7 linked regions of the Danio rerio genome follow. The main gene of each other region encodes a partner of the protein of the gene in region 5 in a complex. Links are inferred from orthologs where the notes say so. Each region holds a gene or a part of one and is shown on either strand. Other genes may lie near its edges. The genes, in order: tada2a, tada3l, dr1, supt7l, kat2a, taf5 and wdr5.

Region 1 (4,253 bases), on a different chromosome or scaffold from region 5:
ATTGATTAACGTCATTGCATCACCAGTTTTTCACCATAGTTTTTCAACTGTACCTGCAGTTTGTCAGTTTCACTTTTATTTAGCAACATATTGTTCATGCCCCATAAAAAACTGAGGTATCGGAGGCGAATATGAAGTAAGGACTGCTGGAAGAGTGTAGTTTTAATGGATTTTGATACCGCACACCGAATGGGAAAAAAATAAAATTAAATTGTGACGCGGGTGTCTGTGTTCCTTTAGGGTTATCAAAAGTTTCTGTTTACATGGTGAACTCTTAATCAGAGTATTGTCTGAATCATATTAAAATCGGAGTATTGGTGTCCTTGTAAATGTACTTAGTAAAAGTGCCAGAAGATGTTGCAAGCTGCATTCCTCTGCCTTTAATTTCATTCGCTGTGTCCTCAAATGTTTCACGTGTTTCCCCTTACACGCACATTTATATATTAAACTAATTTATTGCATTCTGAAAATGTCAGAAACAAACACAACAAACTTGCCTAAAACTCAAAATGGCATACAGCAACAAAAGGCAAACTGTTAGGAGGATCAGTTACTGAAATGCTTCATTGGTTGCTGAATGATGTTTTTAACTAGTCATGCAGTTTACACAACAATCCATATTCTAGTGCGCAAATTTAAAAGTGAACGTAAAATGCATGAGTCAACAGATTTGTCTGTATTTTCAATTTTGTCTCCTTTTTGTGGCGATCAAAATGTATCTATTAGGCAATCTAATAAGCAGCTAAACGCCACTTGCCTTTGACAGCAAAAGCCACTATATCCCGAGAACCAATCAGAAGGTGCGAATCCAATCCTGTTTTCAATGTAGCAGCGCACTGATACGCCGGCTTTATGAGGACTGTTTTTTTCCGCTTTCGATGTAGATTTTAAAGGGCACCTATGGTAAAAAAAAATCTACTTTTCAAGCTGTTTGGACAGATGTGTAAGTATAGTGTATAGACCGTCATATTGGGATGATATAAACACACACAGTCCTTTTTTTTTTTTCAATTTAACAACAAAAACGGTGGACCAATTGGAGCGGTTTCTTAGAGCGACCGCAACTTGCCGTAGGAGTGCGGTCCCCCCGCCCACCAATATTGATTGATTAATTCTGTGCATCTACTGTGTTGTCAGTTCTGGAGAGGCGTTATCCCAAGGAAGTGCAGGACCTTTATGATGTCATGAGACGCTTTGCGCGTGTGGTGGGACCAATAGAGCACGACAAGTTCATCGAGAGTCACACCTGTGAGTATTTAACCCTCTTTTCAACCACTCGATATAGAGAAATCCAGAACACTGCTGTTACCGGACTCGCTAGTTTACCAGACTTCAGCTGACCTGAGATCAATCTAGCCCTGTGTGTCTTTGTGGTTCAGTGAGTGTGTGCAGGACAGCTAGATTTAGACGAACAAGCCCTCATGTCATTCAGCAGCACTCAGTCTGAGTTCAGTCTGTCCGCCCCACTAGTCTGAATCAGCCAGGGTGAAAAGTTCAGCGCTCCATCTGCTCTGTTTCTCTCTGTCATCAACTGTTCACAGTGGAGTTTGAGCTGCGGAGGGAGATCCACAGACTGCAGGAGTACAGGAGCGAGGGAATACAGTCCTTCTGCGGTAAGATGCACCCTCAATCACAAGCATATCATAGGAGGTAACATAAATCAGAGTGCCACGGTGCTATTTTTAAGCTTTCAAAATTAGGTTTTTCATTCACTAAGGAGAAAAATCACTTTCGTTTTATCATTATATACACTCACCGGCCGCTTTATTGGGTACATATAAAATGTATTAGTATCGGGTTGGACCCCCTTTTGCCTACAGAACTGCCTTAATCCTTCATGGAATAGGTTCAACAAGGTACTTAAAATATCTCTTAGAGAATGTGGTCTTTATTGACATGATAGCATCGCGCAGGTGCTGAAGATTTGTCACTGATGCGAATTTCCCATTCCACCACATCCCAAAAGGCTCCATTAGATTGAGGTCTGGTGACTGTGGAGGACAATGTGAACTCATTGTCATGTTCAAGAAACCAGTCTGAGATGACTCACGCTTTATGACATGGTGCATTATCCTGCTGGAAGTAGCCATCAGAAGAGGGGTACACTGTGGTCATAAAGGGATGAACATGGCCTGCAACAATACTCGGGTTGGCTGTGGCGTTGACACAATGCTCAATTGGTACTGGTGTGCCCAAAGTGTGCCAAGAAAATATCCCCCACATCATTACACCACCACCAGCAGCCTGAACCATTGATACAAGGCAGAATGGATCTATGCTTTCATGTTGTTGACGCCAATTTCTGACCCTACCATTCAAATATCCTCCGATGGTTGTGCTTGAAAATCCCAGGAGATCAACAGTTTCTGAAATACTCAGACTAGCTCATCTGGCACCAACAACCATGCTACATTCACAGTCACTTAATTTTTTTTCCCCCATTCTGTTGCTTAGTTTGAACTGCAGCAGATCGTCTTGACCATGTCTACATGCCTAAATACGTTGAGTTGCTGCCATGTGATTGGCTAATTTAAAATTATGGGTTAACGTACAGTTGAACAGGTATACCTAATAAAGTGGTCGGTATGTTGTAGTCTCAGCTCATTTCACACAGTTAATAAAATAGATGGTTCATTAATGCAGTTTTTTTAAACCCCCTTTGTTATGTTCTGATTGGTCAGATGTCATGAAAAGTCATAAGTACGGGATACTACACACCATGCACTTACTCACTGTGTACTTATGTACTTACACACATAGTGTATGAATTTAGTGCCAGTATTTTACTAACCAGAAATTCAAACCGTTTCCCAAATGACATTTGACGGTTGCCAACTTAGTAATGACCAAATAGTACCTGTCATGAGTATAACCACATTCACCAATGGTGAACACATTGGAGCACTTTTTTGACAGTGGTTCCTTTCAATATAATCCAGAATTCAGAACAGTACAAGGTAAAAAAAAAGTTAATAAATGTGAAAATATACACAGCTATAAAGTATATAGAGTTATTAAATGATACGCAAAGTCTTATAATTAATTATAAACAATATGTGACTAGTATTGAGTTGAGAAAGTAACATTCAAGTTGTCAGAAAATTCTTAAATGTGCCATAGAATGACATTTTGGATATACCTAGGCATAGCTGAATAATAAGAGTTCATGGAAATTACATATCATGAGCCTCAAATATCAATGTGTTATTGTTCTCCAACAAATCCTGTGAGTGCAAAATCCCAGTGAAAATCCGGCCAATTGGAACAAAACACAAACTCTGACAATCCACACAGAATCAATTAAATGAACGCCCCAGGCAGTGTTTGATTGGCCACAACGTTTTCTAGTGAGATTACATCAATTATTATTTTCCCCTTATTTTTAACTTTATATAAGCTTGTATTAAACATACTATGCATGTGGGTCTCTTGTTTTGAAAATAGGAACAGGCAGGGAGATTAAAAAAGGAACAGTTTAGTGAAGTAGGCAGCTATGCATGACCACTAAGTGCTCACAACTTGTCAGAAAGCAAAATGCAGGATATACGGATTAAAAACGTATTCAGCACCACCTTGAAGAGGCATAAGGTCTGTTTAACTCCTCTCTTTTGTTAGTTTAAAGTATATAATTCGCTGTGTATATTTGTGATGAGGCAACAAACACACGTATACTGAGTAAAAGTGCTTAAAGATTGTTTCTGGAGATTTATTTTTTTGCTTACCTGAGCCACAAACCTGTTATTTAGATATCAGTGAACAATTTTCACTCCTTTACATTTTTACAAATGTTTAGAAAAGATCAACTTAAAATTTTTTGTGGATGGTAATTCCAAATCATGTAGAGGCAGTTTAAATTAGAACACAGTCAACAAGTGATGATTTAAGCAGAATCAAGCACTATCTCATCTGAATATGGTCCATACGCTCTGACCACAGCTTTTTGATAATGCTAGCCAGATCTCACATACAGAGATCTATGTTCATATCTGAAGTGACACCTGTCATCTGGTCTGCAGGTGCTAAAGTCTATGAGCGAGTGAAACGCACACGAGAGGATGAGCGCAGGAAGAGGAACATGCTTTGTGACGTCCTGCAGTACATTCATGACACCCGCGCCTGCCAGCAGTGGCTGCACAAACAAGCTGCCATGTAAGATCTCTTCCTCACTCACTCACAATACTGCTTCCTTTATGTTAAAATGTATTATTACATGAGTCATGAATCCCCCTGCCTCAGTGCTGCTTAGTTTTCAG
Region 2 (4,253 bases), on a different chromosome or scaffold from region 5:
GAAAAAGACTAACCATAACAATAGGCAAAGCATGTGAAACCATTTATATTTTTTATTTTTATAAACAGAAATTCCAATTTAAATGACAAACACAAAACTCTATGATATTCCATAACCTGGACAAAAAAAAAAAAAAAAAAAAATTCCTTGAATTTTATTGTCAGGAATAAACTTTTAAATTTCAATGGTATTACATGACCCATAGAGTAACCCTGTTTAAATCTGTTTCTTTTTCTTGTATTATACTGCCGTGTCTAGATGTAGATGCCCTCCTGAAGAAATCTGAGTCTCAGCATGAGTCTCCAGAGGACGGATGCCCCTTCGGTCCGCTCACTCAGCGACTTCTACAAGCTCTTGTTGAGGTCTGCGACTCCTCATTTGCAAATTATATAGTGCAATACTTTCAGCTTTTTGACTGCTTGGTTTATATCAGTGTTTCAGTCATATTCTTTTGTGATGTAGGAGAACATCATATCTCCTATGGAGGATTCCCCCATTCCAGACATTCCAGGGAAGGATGATGGAGCTGGTACGTCACCTCGTAGCCAGGGGAAAGCCTTCAGGTAAAAACAAGTCTTGTCACTTGATTTTCATAATTTTTGTTTTAGAATTTAGTCAACATAAAGTTGACTTTCATAAGATTTATATTAGCTTGTCTATTTTGTTTATTTGAAAAAGTTACTGCTGTTACTGTAAGGCTGCATTAATTAATGGAAAATACAGTACGATTTTTATTATCTTCTTAATATTACACAATCTTTACTTAATACTAAACTATTGTTATGGTAAAATGTGATCCTTGAATAGCATCAGTGCTACAGGATATTTTTGGTTGTTATGTCTTGCGCTGAGTGTCTTGCCACAAGCTTTCAACACCTCCAGAAACCGTCTCTCTAAAAATTTCATTATATTTTTAACAATTTTTTGAAAAGAAGAACACATCTCATGCAAACACAAATGCAGTAGAATATAGGATACATCATAAATATATATATTTATGGCTATATAGAGCCAATTAAGACTGATCAGTCAATTAGTTGTTCAGGTAAGCTTCCAATTAATTGATTTAAATAGTAAATATAGTTATTAAAGAAGTAATAAATAAAATCAGGTGTCATTTTTATTTTTACTTTAACATCTTAGTATTTAGTAGCACTAATGGTGGCTACTAGTCAACGGCTACACAAAGTAAACATATATAACATAGCAAATATTTAGCTGACTTTGCAATATAGAAAGTCTCATTAGTTTAGATCAATTAGTAATCTTTTATTTCTCCGTCTTCGAATTCTGCTGAATTGAGCATTTTGTGTGTTCAGTGTACCTCACACACGCTCTCTGGAGGCTCGTATAAGAGAAGAGCTGGTGTCTCAGGGGCTGCTGGACTCTGATGAGAGGCAAGGGGTCGGAGGAGAGTCTGAAGATGAGGTGCTGGCCGAACTGCAGAAAAGACAAGCTGAACTTAAAGCACTGACCGCACACAACCGCTCACGCAAACTGGAGCTGCTCAAGTGAGTCTTGCTGAAACACATCAGATCAACATCAAGACTGTTATTGGCATGAGATATCTGGTAATCCGGCTCATGGTTTAAGTAAACTTTAAAATCTGCATGAAATGCAAATTAATTGCACTGAGAAATAAAGTAGCCGTATTTCCATGCGAAGATGCAAATTAAATGCATGCAGAAAACTGGAATATCACATAAAAGACATGCGAATAAAGCAGCGTTTCCATCCAACGAGTCAAAGACAACAAAATTGTCACATCCTGATTAAGTTTCGCCAAATATCAACAGTAAAAATTGAATTTGTTTTTGTTTTACAGTGTGCTCAGCCAGCTGGTTTGTTCATTTACACACGTTTTCATCATCACATAATCTCTTATAACAAAATCGCATGACTTTTAATGCGCACAATAGAATTTATTTGGTAGCGTTTCCATCGCAGTTTATGCTAATTTTTTCCTGAATAAAATGTCCTACTCAGTTATTCGCATGTCTTATGCTCATTTTAAAATATTTTGAGCCTAAAAATAGGTGGTTAGAAACATAGCTACAGTGGGTATAAAAAGAATAATCCCCCTTCTAAATAATTAGATTTTGTTGCATTGTAGCCTGAAATTAAGACAGACACAGTTTTTTTTTATCTAGGTGAAATTATTCAGTGCAATGTGTAACATCTATGTAAAAGATATAACACCAACATGTCAGAAAACAATTAACAAGCATAAAAACAAAATCACTCAGTTGTGAAAAGGATCACCTCCTCCTAAAAATTTCTGGTAAACTCAATCAGGTGTAGCTAATCACCTTCTTAACGACACACAATGCCATTTCACTTTCATTGGTGGTCAATTTGATTAGCTCAGCATGAAAATAGCTTTATTGTAGCATTTTAACCCTAGGTAGTGCAACTGAAGCAAACCATCAATTATGGGTGGCAAGACATTGTCAAAAGATTCCTGGGATAAAGTTGTGGCCAGGCTTAAGTCAGGGGATGGATACAAAAAAAATTCAAATGCTTTATCAATGCCTAGAAGCACAGTGAAGTCCATTTTTTTTTTAAAAGTGGCTGGTATTTGGTACAACACAGACCCTTCCTGGATCAGGATGTCGCTCCAAATTGAATGAAAGAGCCAGGAGGAAAATGGTTAGAAAGGCAACCAAGAGGCCTACAACAACTCTGAACAGTTGCAGGAATTTATGTCAAAGAGTGGTCATTGTGTGCATGTGACAACAATATAAACAATTCTCCACAAATGTGGCTTGTATGGAAGGGTTGCACGAAAAAAGCCTCTTCTCAAGAAAAGCAACATACAGACACGACTGAGCTTTGCCAAAACGCAACTAGAAGATTCTGTGGCCATGTGGGAAAAAAAATATGGTCAGATGACACTTAATTTGAACTATTTGGCCTCAACACCAAACGATATGTCTGGCGGAACTCCAATACAGCTCATCATCTAAATAACACCGTCCCTATCGTAAAACATGGAGGTGGAAATATCTTGTTTTGGGGCTGTTTCTCTGCAGCAGGAACTGGAGCACTTGTCAGGATAGAAGGAAAAATGGATGGGGCAAAATACCGACAAATTCTTGAGGAAAATCTGCTGCCCTCTGCCAGAAAGTTATCATTTGGAAGAAGGTTTACCTTCCAACATGACAACAACCCAAAGCACACAGAAAAACTGACCACACACACAGTGGTTAAAGGAGAAAAAGGTGAATGTCCTGGCATGGCCAAGTCAGAGTCCAAACTTAAACCCCATTGAAAATCTTTGGAAGGACTTGAAGACTGCAGTCCACAACAGACACCATCACATTTTAACTGAACTTGAACAGTTCTGCAAAGAGGAGTGGGCTAATATTTCAAAGTCAAAGTTAGCAGAAACGTATTCCAACAGATTAAAGGCTGTAATTAAAGCACAAGGTTATTCAACCAAATACTGAATCAAGGGGTGATTCTTTTTCCAACCCATTGATTTAGTTTTTTATATGTTGATTTTTTTTCAGACATGTTGGTGTTATATCTTTTGGTTGGGTGTTATAAGTTGCACTAAGTAAACACAGGTAGATTAAACAAAAACTCTGTCTGTCTTCATTTCAGGCTACAATGCAACAAAATGTAATTATTTTGAAGGGGGGTGATTCTTTTCTATACCCACTGTACTGTTTGTTTTGTAATCTTTAACCAAATCATTTGCTTCCACTTTGAAATGACAGTCCTTCTGTAATGTCGATTTGACGCCTTGAGCGAAATATGCTTAGCCACACCCCTCTAACTGTTAGTTTACTACCAGTGAAAGACGAGAGGAGCACAAAAATAAAACCCCTTTCAACTCTGTTCCTCTTCAGTTAATTAAAAAAAGAGCCCAAATCTTACAAACTGTGATTTTAATAGTAGTAGAAGAAGGAATTAGTAAAATAAGTATTATAAACATGTGCTGTCGCATTTATATACTTATTTAGCATGCAAAATCTTACAAACTGTGATTTTACTAAATAAATACATGTAGGGCTGCTGCTGGGTTCAGAGTAAAGATGCATTTACACATCTTAGATTGTTAGAATTGAGTAAATGAAAAAAAGCTTCACTCTGAAACTTGCAATGCAAATTTTCATTCTTTTTTTTTTTTAAATAAACTTGATGGAAAACCTTTTAAAAAAGCAAAAAGCATTAAGACAACACATTTCGATTATTTTGCAGTCAGTACTATAGCCCCTTATAATATATAAAGCCGTTAAATATATACA
Region 3 (4,253 bases), on a different chromosome or scaffold from region 5:
TCCAGTCATTTTTGCTTTTAATACTATTACCATTAAAAATAAGAATAATAACTAATACTAGAGTGAATTCTAAATGATAAGGTGACTCTAAAGAATGGAAAAATTAAGCTGAAAATTCATCTTTAAAATCACTGGAATAAATTATTAAATTATAAACTAATTTTAAAGTTATTTTCTAGTGCGATAACATTTTACAATTTGTACTGCATTAATCGTGTATGGCCATACACCCAAAGAGCTCCACATACATGAGCGGGGTACCCTCTCTACACCACCCCCAGTGTGCAGCATCCACTTGGACGGCAGCCACAGGACAGCGGCGCCAGTGCACTCACCACACACCAGCTGTAGGTGGAGTGGAGAAACAGTGGTAGAGCCAGTTCGGTGATTGAAATGATTAGGAGGCCATGATCGTAAGGGCTGATTGAGGGATTTTGGCCAGCACACTGGGGTTACATCCCTAATGTTTTTACGAAAAGTGCCATGTGATTTTTAATAACCACAAAGAGTTTAATGACCTTTCAGTTTTATGTTTCATCCAAAAGACGGATAAGGATAAGATTATTTTAAAATATTGAAAAATCTACTGACCCTAATCTTTTGATTGGTCGTGTATATTATGGCCAAACTGACTCGATTATGCATTTGTAAATAGTCACAGCTCCAAATAATTTCTCCCTGTAATTTGTGTGCATTTTGAATTCAACATGTTTCGCCTTGCGCATTTAACTTCCAGTGTTAAAATTATGTTTTGGTAATCGCTAATTTTCCAATTTATTTATTTATTTTTTTACAATTTGCAACTTGTGAGATTAGCGTAGAATTTATATTAATAAAAAATACACAAAAACAGGCTGTCTATAAAATGGGTTGACTTTATTGCTTAGAGAATACAGCTTTTGCAAAGGCATGTGAATACGTTTCTCAACTACACCATACCAGTCATCACAAGATATGAATTAACCACACATTCACAACTTTTACACATTGCACCTGGAAAAAACAAAACATAATCTGCTATCAAAAAATTGTACAAAGTGTGAGTTACAGAGAGCTCAGTGATGTCTGCAATTAAACGCTCTCATGTCATATAGAGAACAAATACCATGAGCAGATTTCTGAAAGCCTATCCGGTGACTGATTTGTTAATTATTTTTTCATAGTTTCATCTATCTTTGGTACTATGAGACAGATATTATTCTGCACGTGTAAATCTTTTCCTCGGAATACTGTTCTGAACACAGGGCAGGTAAAAGCCTATCTACATCATCTTTATCCTCACTTGAAAGTAAAAAAAAAAAAAAAACGAACCAAAATGCAACATCCTACATTACAAATCACGTTCTCTGATATCGCTCAGCAGAACAAAGAGAAATACAGAAGTGGGGATGAACGGCTGTAAAAATCAGTTACCAAAAATGTTCCCCAATTGTGTCTCTTTAAGCTATTTTACAAAGACAAATATAAGAGAAATACGCAAGTCACCTAAAACAGGACGCAGCGATTCAAAACGCCAGCTCCTGTATATAACCAATGGCGTGCCTCGTGTCACAGCCACATCACATGACTAAACATCCTTCCCACACACATACACAAAGAAACTTATGACAACTGGCTTTAATTAAATCACAAAAAAATAACTGGAGTTTCAAGAGCTAATGATTCTAGTTAACAAGTGAACTGACGTGAACGTAGCAAAAAATAAAAACAAAAATGAATCACAGGAGATGACCCATGACTGCTTCTAAACCGTCAGTTTATACTGCTGATCTGGGATTTTAAAAGTTTATATAGGAGACAATACTGCAGAGCTTCTTCTCTGCTAAGGTTTACGGAGGGCTGAGTTGTGTGTGGGAGACAGTACATGTCTGTATGTATGTATATATATGTATACATATATGTATATGTATATGTATATATATATATATATATATATATATGTATATGTATATATATATATATATATATATATATATATATATATATATATATATATATATATACATATATATGTATATATAGATATCTATCTATATATATATATATATATATATATATATATATATATATATATATATATATATATATATATATATATATATATATATATATATATATATATATATATATATATATATATAATTTGTAAATCTATCCGTGTGCTTCAGCCAAAGCCTGCCAGGATTCACATGTCGTCCTCTTCATCTTCATCCTGGGAAGATCCGGCCTGCTGAGTGGAACTGGCCGAAGCCGCAGCTAACTGTGCCTGCTGGGCGGCCTGCTGCATCTGTAACCACTCCTGCTGTGCCAGTTCAGCCTGTTGCTGCCGTGCCTAAAACACAGCAACACTCATCAAAAGCCATGTGGAAGCTTGTTACACAAATATGACAAGTTGTCTATTCAATTTGTAGGCAATTTACAGTGTTGCCAACTATTTTCAATGAAAATGTGCTAAGCTCTGCTTACATCAAATACATCAATTTGCATTTTACTGACATCATCACGTCCAGTAGTTTTTGTTTAGCAGTCTATGGTTAATAACAGGTTATTTATATTTACACTAGGCTTTATATGTGCAATATATGTCAATTTAACTAAATGTATTGTTTGAATACAGTATATCAATATAGATGTATAATGAATTTGCAGTAATCTCCCAGACACAATAAACTCACAAAAGTTCAGAAACTCACTAAAATCTCTCTGATTGTGAACAAGAAAAAAAAAAACAGCCAAATTAAATTGTTAAATTTAAAACAATGGAGAAGCAGATCGGTTTGACTAACTTTGCAAAGAAAATGAACACCACTGGCTGCTAGTGTGCTGATGACATCACTGACAGCGTTTCAAGCTTCCAAGGGAGCATTTAAAAATATAGTCAATTAGCTGAGCAGATTGATAACTCATCTGCAAGGTTCAAGTGAATAGAAACAGAATTTTTCATTTTTTTAATTTAATAACTCTGAAAAAAAAACTAACAAATCCTCAACACCTGGACATTTCCTAAATATCTGTGTATTTTTTTTAACATTGATATTTTTTTAATTGACAAAACAGTAAAGAACTGAGCATTTCTACCTTTAATTACCGTATAGGTCAAAATGACTGCATGCATGCCAGTTACTTTTCACTGTGACTGTAAATATAAATGCATTTTTTGCCTAGCAACTTCCTTCTAACATAAACATAACTTTCTGCTTGCAAAAACTCCAGATATATCTTTCAAAACTGCATTTTCTGTGTCATGAAATTGCTTCTGTTTGAAAGTGAAAATGAAGGCCCAGACCTTTGCGTGTTCTAGTATTTAACTAAATATTTACAAGCTGTATTACTGAAAAAAATAAAAGTTTAGGGTAATGGTGTGAAAATGTTGACAGGCATTCAAAGGCTAATTTTAATATCTTAAAAGAAGTTTAGAATGTAAATATGATGTGACAATATGATGTTTTATATGAGAATGGTCAGAATGACCAGTATACAGAAAAAGCAATGATCCAGTTACAGAATTCTAGTTCCACTGTTATTACAGCCTATTCTCGTGTCTGTGTTAACACAAAATGAAGCGAGTGCATCGATGCCCATTCTGGCCAATCACAGACATTTCTGTTGAGCTCCTGAGCACACGTTCAGCTCATGCTGATATGCTCTCCCTCATTGGCTGCAGCTCATCACTTCATATGAACGCGCGTGGGGTCGAGTCGGCCGACTGCTCTGGAATATTCAGCATGCTAGATATTGTATTTCTGTCTGCGAGGTGTCATCAAGCCTTTTTGATCCGTTATTCAGTAGTTCATAAATAAGACTGCAGAGCGCCGAGCACCAGGAAATTGTTTTTCCCGATCACAGTCCGATCTGTCAGCAAGCTCGTTAACTTTCAAATCGGGCTCAAATCAGGCTTAAAATCCTTTAGTGTGAACTAGGCTTAAGAGTCCATAAAAAATCTCCAGTAACACCAAAAAAAGTTGCTAGATTTTTTGTTAGTCGCTTTTTTTTTTTTTTGGAATATTTGCCGCTAAGGGGGTCTGAAAAGTCACTAAGTTGGCAACACTGGTGATTTAATGTAATTTGTGTACCTTTTTGCATTAAAAAAAAAAAAAAAAAAAAAACGAGAAGGCACCAACTGCTAAGCTAAGAGTGAAATCTTTAGAATTAACCATTCGGCATGCATTTTTACCTTAGCAAATAATTCCTGTTGTTGGCGGAGAAGTTCTTCCTCGGGAATGCCAAGGTTCTCTAGTCGAGAGCTGGCCTTT
Region 4 (4,253 bases), on a different chromosome or scaffold from region 5:
CAGCGTCCTCGTCCAACCACCATGCTGGATATCCCATCTGAGCCCTGCAGCCTAACAATCCATACGGTGCAGCTGAGCCAGCACGCTCGTCGTCTCCGGGGTCTCATTGCTGCTGCCCAACAAGGCCAGCAACCCCTGCCCACGTTATTAGAGGGCCAGAGTGCCTTTAAACCTGAGGAAGGAGATGCTCTGCCTCCACGACCTCCCACACCCACTGTACCTGATGATCTGCTTCCACTAGACAGTAAAGCGCCTCGACTGCCGTTCCAGCTACGCCACAGTGACCCAGAGAGTGATTTCTACAAGTAAGTTAAAAATAGGGTTGCCAGGTTTTCACAACAAAAATAGCACATTGGCCATCCAAAGTAGTCCAAAATTAGGCCAATTTGTCAATCAAACGAACCCGAATGAACCCCAATCTCTAAACTTAAAATATGACATTCCCATACATAAAAATAGCTATTTTACATTATTAAATACAATATATAGTTTCTTGCGTCTTTAATATTGCATATTGGTAATTGTAAACATATGATTTTTATAAATAAAATCATCCTATCTTCAGATTGACAGCCGATGAGCCAAATCTTCAGTTCGTTAATGCTTTTTTTTTTTTTTTTAGAACTTTTTGAATATATTACACATTACTGTACACATTAAACACATTTTCTTTAAAAATACTTTTATTAGAAAGTATAACAATTCAAAGAAATATACTGTTTTATTATTTAGCAAAATTACCAGGTAGTTCTGGCAACGGACCCTTTTTACAAGACGGTCATCAGCATCTTAAATCCTTGATCGTTTTTAATATTTAAATAAAAAAAAAAACTTATGAATATTTAAATGTTTTTATATATGTATTATATAATCTTTGCTTCAAATCACAAAAAACAAATTACTGCTTGTGCGAGGCGTTTCTAATGAAGCGTCTATTGGACAGGATAGTAAATTTAACATAATTCTCCCCTCTGGCTGCCGTTATCAGTTTCACACAACAATTTTCATTTTTATGAAAGTCTTTATAACATCATCATGGAGTTTTTCTTTCATTATTTGAGCAAATAAGATTGTAAAAAAATATTTGTTGTATTCTCCCATTCACTGCAGTCTAAGTTTACCCAACTATGACAACTTCCGCTACTAAGAAACCCAGAAATGTGAAAAGGGTCTACTGTTACTATGGAAGCAAAAACAGATATGGCTGCTTTGCTGCACACAACCCACCCACACACTTGCACACACACATCCACAAACACCCACACCTCTCATTTGTTTACTTCGTTTAATCATCCTAGTATTTTTCTATCATTGGTAGAATATATGTTTGGATGAGTAAGATATTTAAATGTCACACAGTTTCATACAGCATATGCAATATGACAAACCTTTAACCTGAGAAATAAAATAAAAAAAACAATCTCTGGACTTAATCAAATTTATTCATTCTTTAATTTTTTTTCGGCTTGATCAGATTGATCAGGGATTGCAACAGCAGTATGAACCGCCAACTATTGTTTTACGCAGCAGATGCCCTTTCAGCTGCAACCCAATACTGGGAAACACCCATACACTGTTCCATTCATACCCACTCATACACCACAGCCTATTTAGTTCATCCAATTCACCTATAGCGCATGTCTTTGGACTGTGGGGGAAACCGGAGCACCCAGAGGAAACCCGCGCAAACACAGGGAGAACTTGCAAACTCTAGACAGAAATACCAACTGGCCCAGCTCGAACCAGCAACCTTCTTGCTGTGAGGTGACAGGGCTAACCACTGAGCCACAATATATATATATTTTTTCAATTGTATTAATTCTACGATTATCAAGTACTTGTGAATGAGCCTAAAAATCTAAACTTTTTTGTATATTTACATTTCAACAAATTCACTTTCCAGTGATATATTCAAAACACTGGACAGCCACAAATGTAAACATGCTTATTTGAAACATTTCTATTATTAGTTTTTTTTTTAGATTATTTCAATGTGGTCATATCATTGACCATGAACATTTCCTGCTTGTTATCAAACTATTTCATAACTGTAACAAGAGGCAGTTTAAGCATATCTTAATGTTAAAACAACTAGTATATCAATATTTATCAATTTGTGGCTCTTTTAAGCTATAGAAATGAAAAAATATAAAACAGGAAAAATATTGGGACTGTTGTTTTTATTTGCATCCCTCAAAATTGTCTATATCAGTGTTTCTCAACCACATTCCTAGAGGACTACCAACACTGAATGTTTTAGATGTCTCCTTTGACTTTCCAGGGTTTCTGCAGGGTCTTAAAAAGTTTAAAAATGTCTTAAATCTTAAAATCGAAATTTTAGGCTTTAAAAAGTCTTAAATTTACTGAAATATTGTGCTGTAGGTCTTAAATCTTTTTTAACAGGTCTTAATTTTCCTTTGTTAATGCATTACTGCCCAAAAACTTAACCAACACTAACAGTACATCTCAATAAAACTAAACTAAAAAAGGTTAAAAAATAAAAAAAGGTTAAAAAAGGTCAAAAAATAAAAAAAAGATTTAAAAAGGTATCTTTGAACTTTATTTACCATAATGGTTTTATTATTTCCCTTACAATACCATTTGTTAGAAGTGTTCCATGTATTTACAGCTGAGGACACAGACCTGGACAGATTGTTGTGCATAGATTTAGTCTATTTTAGGTTTAAAAACTTTTTTAAACATTTGTTTATTTTTTTTATTTTAAAGAAAGTTTATGTTGGAAAAACATTGTATACTTTGTTAAGAAGTATCTAAAGTGTATACATTTTTTATTATTCATTTATTATTGCATTATTAAATATATTAAATTATTATACTTTTTTAATAGGGCAAATAAAAATATTTTCCATCTAGGCCATTTAAAAAAATTAGCATTTAGCCCTTTATGAGTCTAAAATTTAGCATTAGCATTTAGCCCTTTATGAGTCTAAAATTTCATTTATAATGGTCTTAAAAAGTCTTAAAAATAAATTTTAAAAATGTCTTAAATTGAAACCTGCAGAAAGCTTCCTTTCACACCCATTGCAGGTCTTTCAGTCTTTGCTAATGATTTGATGATCTAAATCTGATGTGTTTGGTTAATGAGACGGGGAAAACATGCAGTGTTGGTGGTCCTCCAGAAACGTGGCAGAGAAACACTGGTCTATATGACTCTTATTCAATATCCTTTGCTTTCTGTCTTTTACCTGTTTTTCTAACTTCTCTATATTTGACTGTTTTTAGAGGTAAAGGTGAGCCAGTCACTGAGCTTAGCTGGCCATCCTGCCGTCAGCTTCTGTACCAGTCAGTGGCCACAGTGCTCGCTCATATTGGATTCGAGTCAGCCAACGAAAGCGTACTGGAGACTTTAACTGACCTGGTTCATGAACACTATCTGCGGCTCACCAAGTTGCTGCGTGTGGCTGTTGACAGGGAGGCCTGCCAGGGCTCTACTGCCTTCCCTGATGTATTGGAGCAGGTATTCCATGAGTTGGGCATCGGCAGCATCCTGGCACTACAGCGTTTCTGGCAAGTCCGTATCAAAGATTATCACAGCTACATGCTGCAGGTGAGACATGGCTAATATTGTGTCTCATTCACTAAACATGCGTACACAAGGCATTTAATTCACTTGATCATGAACATAACAGTGCTGATTTTGGGCATGAAAATGATCACATAATTTTCTTGACCTAACTAAAGGAGTTTCTCCAGGTTCTATTTCGGGACCTATTTTGTTTTCTATTTATGTAAATTATAAGAGTAAGGGCATTCATTCATTCAAATTTCTAAAGGTCTAAACAATTGTTATATGATCTATAATAAATGGTGATTATTAGGGCTGCACAATACACTACCGAAAAAGAAAAAGTCTTGTCATCAATCCCAGTTGTATGAGCAACATATAATAGCTTGACTTCTCGTTGATCACTTGGAAAAGTGGCAGAAGGTAGACTTTTTTAGATGAATCATCTGTTGAACTGCATCCCAATAATCTCAAATACTGCAGAAGACCTATTGGAACCCACATGGACCCAAGATTTGGTGAAGGAAAAATCATGATTTGGGGTTACATTCAGTATGCGAGAGATCTGCAAAGTTTATGGCAACACCAACAGCATGAGGTATCAAGACATTTGTACTGCCAATTACATTACAAACCACAGGAGAGGGCAAATTCTTCAGCAAGATAGCTCTCCTTCTCAAACTTCAGCCTCCACATTAAAGTTCCTGAAAGCAAAGATCGTCAAGGT
Region 5 (4,946 bases):
CGCGCTTTTAGACAGCCTCGTAAACAACAAGACATGGCAGATTTTGTTCGTCTTGGCTTTGAGGCTGTTCATCCAGACATCATAGTCATAAATGTCATAGTTAAAGGTTTGTTAATAGTGAGAATTGAACCACAAATTCATTCGTCAAGTCATTTGGTAAAACTGAATAGATAAAATATAATCGCAATACATACAATTGAAGTCAAAATTATTAGCCCCCCTGAATTAATAGCGCCCCTGTTTATTTTTTTCGCTAATTTCTGTTTAATAGATTTCACATTTCTAAGCATAATAGTTTTAAAAACTTATTTCTAATAACGTATTTATTTTATCTTTGACATGATGACAGTAAATAATATTTTACTTGAAATTTTTCAAGACATTTCTATACAGCTTAAAGTGACATTTAAAGGCTTAACTAGGTTAATAAGGTTAACTAAGCAGGTTAGGGTAATTAGGCAAGTTATTGTATAACAATGGTTTGTTCTGTAGATTATTGAAAAAAAAATTGCTTAAAGGGGCTAATAATTTTGTCCCAAAAATGTTTTTTTTTTTTTTTTTAATTAGTAACTGCTTTTAATCTAGCCGAAATAAAACAAATAAGATTTTCTCCAGACGTAAAAATATTATCAGACATACTGTGAAAATTTCCTTGCTGTTAAACATCATTTGGGAAATATAAAACAAAATCTAATCAAATCAAAAGGGGGCTAATAATTCTGACTTCAACTGTACATATATCACAGGAAAAAAATATATATATTGCAATGTTGGATTTTTCTAATTTTGTGCAGCCCTAATCCCTGCTAAAACTTATCACCAGTCTTCTTCTTGATAGCAAACAAAGCTTCATGGACCTGTATCATGTAATTTGGCTTCAGGCGTACTCACACTGCTATCTGAACCGTGTCCAGGCCCATTTCCCGGTTCGTTTTTAGATGTCTGCGTGTTCTGAATCGGGCTCAGGTGCGGTTCAGTTGGCCAGCCCTGGCCCGTTTGGAAGAGGTGTGCCAAAGTGCTTCTCTTGGGCTTAGGTGCAGTACACTTGTAGTGTGAGTGCAAGTACACCTGAGCCCGAAACTGAAGACATGACGTGACTTTTATGGAATTGTTTCATATGTGTTTAATAAACATTCTTACGGTTCAATGAATGCAAACTGTCGTAGTTTATAAAAAGACTTAAACCCCTCACTGCACATCAGCTGCACCTTCAGCAAACCTCCTAATACCTGCAGCACAAGGAATTTATGACTGTTTATGAGCGTCAAAAGTGGCTGATCTGTTCGGCGAATTATTTGACTGTGTGTCACTGCATCTCAAACGACTAAAATTATATAACGATATAAAGGAATCTCTACTGTGCTGAGCGAGAGCGTTTCTCTTCTGTTAAACTGAACAGTCGCATCATCGATGACGTAAGCATCTCCGGCTCGGATACAATGTATGTGCAGGCCATTGGGGGAGAGGGAAGGGGACAAGCGTACTTCGGCACATGTTCAAGGCAACTGTACATAGTGTGAGTACACCCTTAGATTAGCTGGCTAACCAGTTGACTTTCAGTTTAGTTTGTAACAAATTCTGAATTTAGATACCATAAAGGTAGCTCATCTTAGCTTTGCTGCCCTTTAATACCATGGCAAACACTAGTGATTAATGTTGAGCTGCCTTCATATTACTAAAAACCCAAGATTGGTGCAAACTAAACCAACATTTAACTGGCTAGTCAGCTAATCCAGCTTCACGGTAGAGGCCCCAGGTCTGATTCTTCCTACCCAAAGAGTGTCCACAGCTTCGGCAGGTCTCCGTCAGACTGGCGGCCTGCTGCTGGAGCTCCATACGAGCCGCTGTTGGTGGATTGGGGTTTTTCCAGCCATTGCACTTGCAAGCATCATTCGCCTGAGATAAGAAGAGTGCAGAGGAATCAGACGCTAAACATCAGAATAACACAATCAAAACATTCAGAGTGGCAAGTTTATGCAGTGGTGATAAAAGGATAAAATACACTACCTGACAAAAGTCTTGTCATCTATCCAAGTTTAGGAACAGCAAATAATAACCTGACTTCTAGTTGATCATTTTGTATCAAAAGTGGCTTATATGAAAGGCAAAGGTCTGTAGATTAGTTATTTTCCTAAATAAACTATGATCATGCCTTGTTGTATTTGTATTTCATTAGGACAGTAAGGTCTGACTTTGCTTAGACAAAAGTCTTGTCATTTAACAGAAATAATGTACAGTATAGAATTTAAAGTCATGGTGGAGTGGAAAAAGAAAAAATGTGTTTTCAGACCAAACATTTAAAGTACCATGGTAAACAATACAGGGAGCATGTCATTAAACGAATGTACCGATAATTTAAAACCAACTTTACCTCAATAGTAAATAGTGAGTAAATTTTAATCTCTTTAACGCAATTTTTAGATTTTCGAGCTAGAAATGCATGCAAATGAATGTCTGCTTAATTATATATTGTCTAATTTGCACATTTAAACACAACATTAAAGAAAAGCTTTAAGTAAAACTAAAAAATAGCAATAAATGTGGATGTATGGTGAAAAATGTTAGTAAATTGTTTTCCCAATTAAACCTGCAGTGCCTCATGTTTACCCTGCGGTATGTCATGTTTAAGTTTATGAGTATTATTCTTACATAAACAGCATTAGTAAGAGGTAAAAAAAAAATCGTGAGTGTGGATGAAGATGTGACACATGTCAGGCCCGGTTTCTCTCTCTGTCTCTCCATTGTTATGAGGCGAGCTCTCGGTTACCTTGCAGGATGAAAACACTCCGAGTTTCTCCAGCTTTTTCGCCCGCGGAAACGAACGGACTTGGGCTTTCTTCTGGCTGGACCATTGCTGTTGGCTTAGGCCCGGTCGGGCCGGGTCGCTGCTCCCGGCTCCGGGGTTCGAGTTGGAGCCGGTCGGGCCGCTGGACTGCGCTTGCTGAAGCCGGGGCTGCGCGGAGCTCTGTGCCGCCGGGTCCGCCATAACAGCAGCCACACTTCCCCTACGGATCTCCGTGCTCACTCACTTCCCCCCTACGGATCTCCGTGCTCGTTTCCAAACCGGGCGGCTTGAATAAAGTTTTGTGATGGTTTTCGACAATGAGGGGATGCTGGGAAATGTAGTATGCAGTAGTTCGTAATTAAACGCTACAACTTTCCACTGGGGGGCATTAAAGAGACAGTTCGCCGACACCCTCAATTGTTAGTCAATGCAGGTTTTTCGTCTTTCTTCACAATATCCTGTTTTATCAAACTTCTAAATGTTTGGAAACATTTGAAAGGTAAAGGTTCATTTTTTTTGTGTGAACTATCCCATTAAACACTTCCCTGCTGGAAAAAACTGCTTAAACCAGTCTAGGCTGGTTTTACCTGGTTGGCCAGGCTGGTTATGGAGGGGTTTCGGCCATTTCCAGCCTGGTCATAGCTGGTCAGGCTGGGAATGACCAGCTAAAACCAGCTAAACCTGGGTGGGAGCCCAAAGCCAACTCTGTCCAACTTAAACTTATACTTAAGGCTGGGTTTAGCTGGTTTCAGCGGGTCATTTTCCAGCCTGACCAGCTAAGACCAGGCTGGAAATGGCCAAAAACGCTGGTTTAACGCTGGTTATTGTTGTACCAAATCACTTATACATGTATTCATAAAACATATATTTATATCAGTGCATTTATGTTAATTAGCAGAATGTGTTTTGATGTTTCAACGGCACCATTTTAATGTCTAATAATAATAATAATAATAAAATTATGTTTGAGTAAAATGTGTGTGCATGTGTGAAGGGTTGGACAATGAAACTGATAATTCATTAGTATGGTGTAGGGCCTCCTTTTGCAACAAATACAACATCAATTCATTTTGGAAATGACATACAACTGACTCACTCCTCCAAAACAACCCCAAAGTGGCTCAGTAATATTTAGGATGGGTGACTGTGCAGGCCATGGGAGATGTTTAACTTTGTCACCAGTCCTGCAGTGTGTATTGGTGCATTATCATCCTGATACACCACCTTCAGGATACAACGTTCAAATAACTGGGTGGACATGATCCTCCAAAATAGTTCGGTTGACCTTGGCAGTGATGCACCCATCAAGCACAAGTATTAGACCTGGGGAATGCCTTGATATTGAAGCCCAAACCATCTATGATCCACCCCCTATGCTTCACTCTGGGCATGCAACAGTCTGGGTGGGATGCTTGTTTTGGGGCTTCTCCACACCGAAACTCTCCCGGGTGTGGGAATGACAGTGAAGGTGGACTCATCAGACAACAATACGTTTGTCACATTACATAATAACAACATGCTGATGTAAAAATTGCATAAAAAATTACACCATCTATATTCATAAAATCATAGAAACTTCTACTTGCATGATAACTTAATCATGACTGACTATGAATAACATTTAGTGCCAAAAAAAAGACTATAAACAAAAGCACCGACTCTTTCACCAACATTTAAGAAGTGCATTAAAGTTTAAAACTGCAAATATTCTCCTGGACTCACTATATTCATAGCAGGAAAGGGAAAATACCTCTGAATTAGCACGGATATTAATATATAAGAGGTGTCCTGGTGGCATAGTGGGTAGCACTTACAGCAATAAGGTCACTGGTTTGAGCCTCGGCTGGATCAGTTAGCATTTCTGTGTGAAGTTTGCATCTTCTCCCCATGTTTGTGCGAGTTAACATGTGCTCCGGTTTCCCCACCAAGTCCAAAGACATGTGGTATAGGTGAACTGGGGAGGCTAAATCATCCATAGTGTATGTGTGTAAATGTTTCCCAGTGATGGCTTGCAGCTGGAAGGGCATTCGCTGCGTAAAACATATGGTAGATAAATTGGTGGTTCATCCCGCTGTGGTGACCCCGGATTAATAAAGAAACTAAGCTGAAAAGAAAATGAGTTCATAAATAACACAACAGTCAGAAAGTAGACCTTCCCCTC
Region 6 (4,772 bases), on a different chromosome or scaffold from region 5:
AGGCCATTCAAAACCAAACAAATGCTGTCTCCTTTTGAAAATATATATGTATGTCTATATGTAGCAATTCAATATACATCTATCATATATTCAACAATTTAACTAAAAACACATTCAAGCCTCTCTTCCCTTGTTTTGTTCATTGTATATGATGAACGTTTAACAATCAAAAATATAACAAAATCATGCAGTGAAGACATTCAAATAACAACAGAAAGACAGAATAATAATAATAATATAACATTTAAGTAAAATTTAAATAAATTGAATAAAAAACATCCATAATTACAAAAAAGGAGTTTAGTTTTTAAAGTATATACAAAATTCTGAGAGATCACTGTTATTGCTGGATACATTTTATGTATAATTTTATTCCACAAACTTTATTAGTGACACACATTTGTTTTTTGTTTTTTTATATGTATATTTTTTATATCTTTATATATATATATATATATATATATATATATATATATATATATATATATATATATATATATATATATATATATATATATATTATTGCACATGCTGAATATTTAAAAATAAAACCATAACACAAATTTGCAATTATGACATCCAAATCATAACAGAAAACAAGACAAAAATCAAATAAAATGAAAGAGAATTTCATTCAAAAACAAAACGTCAGATTTATATCTTTGTATTAGTATATCATTCTTTTTCTTTTTGGCTTCGTCCCTTTATTAATCTGGGGTCGCGACAGCGTAATGAACCACTAAATTAACCAGCATATGTTTTAAGCAGCGGATGCCCTTCCAGCTGCAACCCATCACTGGGAAACACCCATACATTCTCATTCATACACATACACTAAGGACAATTTAGCTTACCCAATTCACCTGTACTGCAGGTCTTTGGACTTGTGGGGGAAACCGGAGCACCCGGAGAACATGCAAACTGAATGCCACACAGAAATGCCAACTGACCCAGCTGAGGATCGAACCAGCGACCTTCTTGCTGTGAGGTGAGCATGCTACCGACTGCACCACCGTGTCGCACTATTAGAATGATGTAATGTTGTTATTACTATTATTTTGTAGGGTGAAACGGTGGCTCAGTGGTTAGCACTGTCGCCTCACAGCAAGAAGGTCCCTGGTTAGAGTCCAGGCTGGGTCAGTTGGCGTTTCTATGTGGAGTTTGCTTGTTCTCCCCGTGTTTGTGTGGGTTTACTCCAGGTATTCCCCCCCCCCACAGTTCAAAGACATGCGGTAGTTGAATTGATTTGCCGTAGTGTATGTGTGTGAATGGGTGTGTATGGGTATTTCCCAGTACTTGGTTGCAGCTGGAAGGGCATCCGCTGTGTAAAACATATGCTGGATAAGTTGGCAGTTCATTCCGCTGTTGTGACCCTTGATGAATAGACTAAGCCGAAGGAAAATGGATATTATTTTGTTTATTATATGCTGCTTAGATATATAATGATGTATATGTTTAATGAATTAAAGTTCACATGAAAAAAAAATAAAAATAAAACGTCAGATTTACGTCAGACGTACCACATGCGTCATGACGTAATCACATCCAGCGCCGGGGGAAAAATGGCGGCTGTGCAGGATGGACCGATGGAGGTGGACGCAGAGAAAGAGACAAAACCCGAAATCCTCAGCGATGGGACGGCAAATCCGTCGGGGAACACCGGCGGCGGGACTCTGTCCTCATCGCCACTCACCGCAGCCCCGGCCGCCGGAGCCCCGAAGCCGGAGGACCAGCAAACTCTGCTCGCGGTGCTGCAGTTCCTGAAGCGAAGTAAACTGGCGGAATCGGTGGAGATCCTGCGGCGGGAGGCTGGTTTAGCAGAGGAGCTGGAGGACTCGCATACCGACGCCGGTGCAGGAGGGAAGGACGGAGACGCAGGAGATACAAAAACTCTGCTCAGCCGTGTGTCCATCGCCGGTGCAGCCGCCCCGCAGAGCACACTCACCCCCATACCTGCGAAGAGTGAGTGACAGCCGCAGACACACACTGATGCTGGGGCATCACTTTTATTAAACCCACTGAATGATTAAATGCACTAGAACAGAGTCATCAACAGTAGTTATTTCTAGAAGATGTAAAACAGTTCTTTTGTAGCACCCTCACCACCTGATGAGGGACAGTAATGTTATTGAAACACTGCTTCTGTATTGTTTTTTTTTTCTTTGAGTAAACTCAGCTGTATACTTTCACAGCATTGTAACACAGCATATGAAAACAACTTTCTTTAATTCATTCATTTTATTTTCGGCTTAGTCCCTTCGTTAATCAGGGGTCGCCACAGCGGAATGAACTGTCAACTTATCCAGCATATGTTTTACGCAGCGTATGCCCTTTCAGCTGCAACCCATCACTGGGAAATGAAAACATCTTCACAAACAATATTATATACATCTCAAAAACTTTCTGAATATTTACAGACAATTTTCCTGCACAAAATTGTTGCACATTTAATATACAGTCATTACGGAATTCTTCATAAACAAACTATTCACAGTTTAATTGTCATATACCATATACACAGTCATATAACCGACTCGCATACATATTTCACTTTTTACATATACATCATAACCCACTTTACATGAACTTTAAACATTGTAACCAGCAATGAGAGTTAAAACATCACTTTGTAGCTACTCTTTAACTATACCCCTTTTATTAGCTGTTATGTTGATGCATATAATGACATTTAAATGATCCCAGTAGCTGTTAAAATTAGAGTTTATATACACTATCGAGTTGTTTTAATAGATGACACTTGTTTCTTATCACTGACACACACACACACACACATATATATGTATATATATATATATATATATATATATATATATGTATATATATATATGTATATATATATATGTATATATATATATATATATGTATATATATATATATATATATATATATATATATATATATATATATATATACATATATATACATATATATATATATATGTATGTATATATATATATATATGTATGTATATATATATATATATATATATATATATATATATATATATGTATATATATATATATATATATATATATATATATATATATATATATATATATATATATATATATATATATATATATATATATATATATATATAAAACCTTAATAATTAATTTTTTTTTCATTTATTTATTTATTTTTTTAGGTTCATCTTAGGTCAGACATTAAAATATACATAGTAATGATACATATAGATATATACACTGATACACTTCACCAAACAAGAAATTATCAGGAAAACATAATTATGCTCTAAATAAGTTTATAAATAAAAGGTAAAATACCATATTTACACACAAAGATATACAAACATAAGAAAACATAAATAAAAAAATTAATAAACAATACAAAGAAAGGTAAAAGGTAAAAAGGCGATTAAGATATAGGTGTCTCCTTTAAAAAAAATGCATAAAAGGGCTCTAGACTTTCTGGAACTGTTCTGGCTTTTGTTTTATTGTAAATTGAATCTTTTCCATCTGAAGAGCATGTAGGAAATCCAAAACCCATTGCCGATAAGGGGGAGCTGCTGACTTCCAATTCATAAGAATAAGTCGTCTAGCCAGTAAGGTTGCAAAGGCTACGCTATCGGCCTGTAATGAATTTAATTCAGCATATTCTGGCAGGATTCCGAACAGCGCTGTTAAGGGGTTTGGGTCTATTGACAATGAAAAAACAGCAGAAAAACACCTGAAGATTTTCCCCCAAAAATCAGACTGTTTGAAACACGACCAGAAAGTATGTAACAGTGTGGCTGATTCGGTTGTACAGCGAAGGCAAGTTGGGTCAAGATCAGGGAAAATTTTATTCAGTTTTGTTCTAGACCAGTGTATTCTGTGCACAACTTTAAATTGTATGAGAGTATGCCCAGCGTTTATTGATGATGAATGTATTCTTGCAAGAATAAGATCACAAATATTTTCAGCGATTGTTAAATTCAGTTCCTCCTCTCAAAAAGCCCTCAGTACATGTGTTGTGGGGGACTGTTTTGTGTTGATAATAGTAAAGATTTAGAAATGACCCCTTTTGAAGAGGTATGAATGTCGAGTAAATCATCAAGTATACTTTTATTTGGCACAATGGGAAAATTAGAAACTGCTTATGGATAAAGTGCCGTGTCACTGACATGTATTTAACACATAAGTTAAAAATGAGGGACGATATGTTATTGAAACACTGAGCTGCTGCTTTACGTCAGAGTCTGTGGATAGTCTGTGATGTAAATCGTTGCATTCCATTGATTTACAACATAGATCAACTATTAAACATTTACTTTCTCTTTTCTTTTACGTAGAAAGAAATGTACACATTTAGAAAAAGAAATTAACTTTATTATTATTTATTATTATTTTTTTCAATTTTTAATAATTCTTAACCACTTCGCTTTATTCTGCACAAAATAAGTTGCATCAACAGTGTTTCTCAGCGCCCCTTATATATATATATATATATATATATATATATATATATATATATATATATATATATATATATATATATATATATATATATATATATATATATATATATATATATATATATATATATATAGAAATATGGTGTGGTTTGACAGACATTTTGTTGTTGTGTTCTGCAGGTGGAGACGACCAGCCGGATGTCAGTGTGGTGTTGTCAGCGTACAGCCAGCAGGGTGACCCGTCTCTGTATAAGGTGTATTACAGTGACTTGAAGAAGTTCATTGAGTCGGTGCTGGACTGTCACCGGGCAGAGCTCTCGCAGCTCTTCTACCC
Region 7 (4,003 bases), on a different chromosome or scaffold from region 5:
ATTTGTGACATGAGACACCAAACACTGTTTAAATGGTCAGTAGCAGCCACTGCTGTATCATTAGTTTGCACGACTAAATCATTTTATACCACTGAAAGAAAAAACACCTGAAATGGTAGTATCCTTGTCATTAGAAGAGGTCCAGAGGTTCCTTACATTTGGTATCAGAGATGCCGAACTGACCAAGAATAAATAACAATGACTTCAATGCGCAAATTTAGATATCCACATTAATTGGTATTAAACTTCAGTGTAAATCCAAAATGTAAATGTAAAAGCTGCGCCAAACAATACCCTTCTCTGCAATAGAAAACTGTCTTTTGAGTTCAGAGTTGTAGCTTTGTTTCTCTATTCTTGAAAACTGTAATCAAGAGCTGTTTTCATCCAAAACTGCAAATTAACTTTTTGCGCAAAACTGGATTGTCGCATAAAAGACGTCCAAATAAAGCAGCGTTTCCATCCAACAAGTCAAAGCGAACAAATTACACACTTCCTGATTAACTGCTGCCAAATATCAACAGTAAAAACTAAATTTGCTGCAGTTGGAGAAGCTGCATCAATCTTTTCTTGATCTAATGACTTTCGCCTAAGAAGACAATTCTCACATGCAGTGAACGCGGGGTGGCGTTTTAAGGTGTCAGACGCGGAGCACAGACACTCTTGATTCTGGAGATCATTAATAATATAATAACACTGATAATTAAACGGTAAGACATTTTAGAATGACCAAAACTAAATTTCAAATGTTTTACAGTGTGCTCAGCCTGCTGGTTTTTATCACATGATAATCACATGATTTAGATTTTTATCACATGTTCTCTTATAACAAAATCACATGACCTTTTTAAATTGTGCATACTGTAATTTGTGTAGTAAAAGCGTTTCCTCTGTAGTTTATGCATATCTTGCATAATGTTTATCCTTCTCAGTTATGCGCATAATTTTTTTATGCACATTTTCAAAATTCATGCGCATCATGACGTTTCCATCAACCGTTTTTTACTGTTATTATATCAACCGTTATTTTGCATATGCGCATAAAAATAGGTGGATGGAAACATAGCTAATGACTTCATACATTGTACCCCTAATACATGTTAATTCTTCTCTCCAATGCAGTTTGACGAGAGTGTGAGGATTTGGGATGTTAAAACGGGGAAATGTCTGAAGACACTTCCAGCACACTCAGACCCTGTCTCTGCGGTTAGTGTTTTTTTTTTTTTTTACTTCATCTGGATGATTCAATTCACAATTGTGTACAACTGACATCAATTTAAGTGATTTCTTTGAATTATAATTGTGTATTTGTTTTTTTTTTGTTTGTTTGTTTTTTTAGGTTCATTTCAATAGAGATGGCTCATTGATTGTGTCCAGCAGTTATGATGGACTTTGGTGAGTGAACTTTGACTATGAAAAAAAATCAAGAGTGAAAAAATATTTCAGAAATAAAAAGCTAACAATCATACCCACTTTCTGACTTAAACAGTCGTATCTGGGACACAGCATCAGGCCAGTGCCTTAAAACACTTATTGGTAAGTTGATCAGCATTTAAAATGACTACAAACAAGGTTAGATTTGTTGTGTAAATGGCAATCATTTGTGTTTATCTGTTCTTATCTGATATGCATAAATAACTTTAGGCTAATAAGAAACTAGTATAACACAGTTAATTTTAAGGTACGCTAAGTAACAAGAAAGACATTAAAAGAGGCATAAACAATCATTAAAATGTATACATTTCCAATTTTTCATCAGATGACGACAACCCACCAGTGTCATTTGTGAAGTTCTCCCCCAATGGCAAGTACATCCTGGCTGCCACTCTGGACAAGTAAGTCAAGGACATTTTGATATTTTCAACATTTAATTGTATTATTTAAAAAGAAGAAAACTTTAAAGTAAATTCTATTAATCCACATGCATTCCCTTCATATTTTAGTACTTTGAAGCTTTGGGACTACAGCAAAGGAAAGGTAAGTGTTTCTCAGTTTGTTTAGTGCATTGTTTTAATAATAAAAAAGTTCTCAATCGGTGTATAACAATAATATTTTCTTTTTTTTTAGTGTCTGAAAACTTACACCGGTCATAAAAACGAGAAGTACTGCATATTTGCTAATTTCTCTGTCACTGGTGGAAAGGTTTGTTGGCTTTACACTTTTCTAATCCATTGCCTCTCTTGACATGCTAAAACTTTTCGACATGAGCATGTGAACTGAAATGGTGATAAAGGCTTGCTCTTTATTTTTAGTGGATTGTCTCCGGCTCAGAAGATAACATGGTCTATATCTGGAACCTTCAGACCAAGGAGATTGTACAGAAACTACAGGGCCACACAGGTAAGAGCAAGTTCAGTGGATGTTAGCAAAGCATTTTTACCTAGAGCTTAATGCACTTCCTGCTAATAGTTCCAGGTAAGCAGTGCTACGTTACAAATTTGTTGTGTTTGAGTGATATTTTTATTGATGTGCAATAATGTCAAAAAAGGTTTGTTTAAATGATTCACGATTTTCATTTTAGATTTTTTTTTTTTGTAGTTTTTAATTGACCAATGTTAAATGTAACTACAACATAATTCAATTTAATCCAAATGCAGCACATATGTAGAGATCGAAATGGTTTAAACGTGTATTGCCGGATTGCTATAATGCTGTGCTCACACTGTGTTCACCATGCTGTGTGCGATTTGGGGAAAATATCTAATTGTGAAGTAGTAGTCAAGTTCTGGGCGGGGGAAATTAGATAATACATATATATTTCATATCGCAGCTTCTTGCGACTTAGCTAATTGTAACGTTTAAAATCGCGATTCAATTTAGATTAATCGCACAACCCTAGTTCACACCAGATGCGGCATGAGCGAATAAATGGTGCGTGAATATTTGAGTTTACTTGCGTCATTCATGTGTCAAATTCACTAGATAACATTCCATTTAAAATTACACTTTTCCAGCAGTTCCTTGCATCCAGTATTTGTCACAGGAGGCATGCATGAAATGTTCCTGAATGAAAGTAAAATTGCCAAACTGCAGTTAAAGTTGAAAATTATTAATTTGGCTAATAATTTGATTACTGATGTCCATGTAAACATAGTCACTGTCTTTCTCCCCTGCGTCTTTTTTTGTTTTGCCTCTGTGAAAATCAGCGCTTGCTATCCTGTCGCAAAATGCGGCAAAAATTCTATATGACGGTAATAGTTTGATTGTGGTGTTTACATTCGGAGAGCAGCATTTACATCGGATCTTTCAGTCTGTAATATTCTATTGATATTAACTAACTGTAAACTTAGTAACTAAATCATTTTGACTAAGGTATGTCTCTAAAAACTGAAAGAGTACAAATCTGTAGAGACAAGACAATCAACACCAACTGGAGCCGCATCTTTTTTAAAAGGATACAAGTGGCAAATCCAGATTTCCCCATTTCCTTATGCGAAAAGCTTTCAGGTAAAAAATGTTCCTTACAAATATATTTCTGTCGCATGAATTGTAAACCACAAGTGAGTCCAGCTGCACTCTCATAGCACGAAATTGAAACAAAACCTTTGTTGCAGCACATTTCTAAAAAAAAGCACTGACAACCCATGTCTCCAAACAATTCTTGTTTTTCCATTTTTTTGGCAACACAACGTGGTGTCTCTCTGCAGTCTGAACATTCTATTAGGTAAAAACAGTCTTCGAAGCTATCGTGCATATTAATTAAGTTGCACCTCATTCACAATAGAGCGCGCTAATTGGTTTGAACCAAGTCTTTCTCATGAATTAATGCTGCACATTCGGACTCGGATGTATTTGCCAGTACAGACATCCACTCTCCATGCTGGATTACACATAAGGATCTAATTGCCATGACGTAGCTTCAAAAATTAGTTTCAAATCTGAGAAAACAAATTTGCTTAAAATAAAGCAAAAACAACCATCACTTTTTTTTTGTGAAATATGTGTCTATAGTGTTTATTAGAACACATATATGACTGTCAACATAACAAAAAATGTGTTTTGGTGT

The links.
Region 1: kat2a (region 5) and tada2a share a complex: the UniProt entries of both Homo sapiens proteins name them as parts of the ADA2A-containing complex. The link is inferred for Danio rerio from reciprocal best matches to the Homo sapiens genes KAT2A and TADA2A.
Region 2: kat2a (region 5) and tada3l share a complex: the UniProt entries of both Homo sapiens proteins name them as parts of the STAGA transcription coactivator-HAT complex. The link is inferred for Danio rerio from reciprocal best matches to the Homo sapiens genes KAT2A and TADA3.
Region 3: kat2a (region 5) and dr1 share a complex: the UniProt entries of both Homo sapiens proteins name them as parts of the ADA2A-containing complex. The link is inferred for Danio rerio from reciprocal best matches to the Homo sapiens genes KAT2A and DR1.
Region 4: kat2a (region 5) and supt7l share a complex: the UniProt entries of both Homo sapiens proteins name them as parts of the STAGA transcription coactivator-HAT complex. The link is inferred for Danio rerio from reciprocal best matches to the Homo sapiens genes KAT2A and SUPT7L.
Region 6: kat2a (region 5) and taf5 share a complex: the UniProt entries of both Homo sapiens proteins name them as parts of the TFTC-HAT complex. The link is inferred for Danio rerio from reciprocal best matches to the Homo sapiens genes KAT2A and TAF5.
Region 7: kat2a (region 5) and wdr5 share a complex: the UniProt entries of both Homo sapiens proteins name them as parts of the ADA2A-containing complex. The link is inferred for Danio rerio from reciprocal best matches to the Homo sapiens genes KAT2A and WDR5.

Annotation. Positions count from the first base shown.
Region 1 is NC_133190.1:18,240,316-18,244,568, forward strand, and holds part of tada2a (transcriptional adapter 2-alpha), read left to right. Parts: intron 1-1,137; coding exon 1,138-1,248; intron 1,249-1,541; coding exon 1,542-1,613; intron 1,614-4,016; coding exon 4,017-4,149; intron 4,150-4,253. UniProt on the Homo sapiens protein: Component of the ATAC complex, a complex with histone acetyltransferase activity on histones H3 and H4. Required for the function of some acidic activation domains, which activate transcription from a distant site. Binds double-stranded DNA.
Region 2 is NC_133186.1:18,282,467-18,286,719, forward strand, and holds part of tada3l (transcriptional adapter 3), read left to right. Parts: intron 1-258; coding exon 259-362; intron 363-462; coding exon 463-563; intron 564-1,319; coding exon 1,320-1,511; intron 1,512-4,253. UniProt on the Homo sapiens protein: Functions as a component of the PCAF complex. The PCAF complex is capable of efficiently acetylating histones in a nucleosomal context. The PCAF complex could be considered as the human version of the yeast SAGA complex.
Region 3 is NC_133181.1:26,446,669-26,450,921, forward strand, and holds the end of dr1 (protein Dr1), read right to left. Parts: coding exon 4,175-4,253; intron 2,333-4,174; coding exon 2,186-2,332; 3' UTR 1,971-2,185; exon of another isoform or gene 1,941-1,970; 3' UTR 860-1,940; downstream 1-859. UniProt on the Homo sapiens protein: The association of the DR1/DRAP1 heterodimer with TBP results in a functional repression of both activated and basal transcription of class II genes.
Region 4 is NC_133192.1:44,182,056-44,186,308, reverse strand, and holds part of supt7l (STAGA complex 65 subunit gamma), read left to right. Parts: coding exon 1-305; intron 306-3,243; coding exon 3,244-3,568; intron 3,569-4,253.
Region 5 is NC_133178.1:16,326,174-16,331,119, reverse strand, and holds the start of kat2a (histone acetyltransferase KAT2A), read right to left. Parts: upstream 3,084-4,946; 5' UTR 2,987-3,083; coding exon 2,768-2,986; intron 1,897-2,767; coding exon 1,773-1,896; intron 1-1,772. UniProt on the Homo sapiens protein: Protein lysine acyltransferase that can act as a acetyltransferase, glutaryltransferase, succinyltransferase or malonyltransferase, depending on the context.
Region 6 is NC_133176.1:52,726,657-52,731,428, forward strand, and holds the start of taf5 (transcription initiation factor TFIID subunit 5), read left to right. Parts: upstream 1-1,530; 5' UTR 1,531-1,562; coding exon 1,563-1,962; intron 1,963-4,618; coding exon 4,619-4,772. UniProt on the Homo sapiens protein: The TFIID basal transcription factor complex plays a major role in the initiation of RNA polymerase II (Pol II)-dependent transcription.
Region 7 is NC_133196.1:19,691,196-19,695,198, forward strand, and holds part of wdr5 (WD repeat-containing protein 5), read left to right. Parts: intron 1-1,119; coding exon 1,120-1,203; intron 1,204-1,336; coding exon 1,337-1,392; intron 1,393-1,486; coding exon 1,487-1,533; intron 1,534-1,756; coding exon 1,757-1,832; intron 1,833-1,940; coding exon 1,941-1,974; intron 1,975-2,064; coding exon 2,065-2,139; intron 2,140-2,249; coding exon 2,250-2,337; intron 2,338-4,003.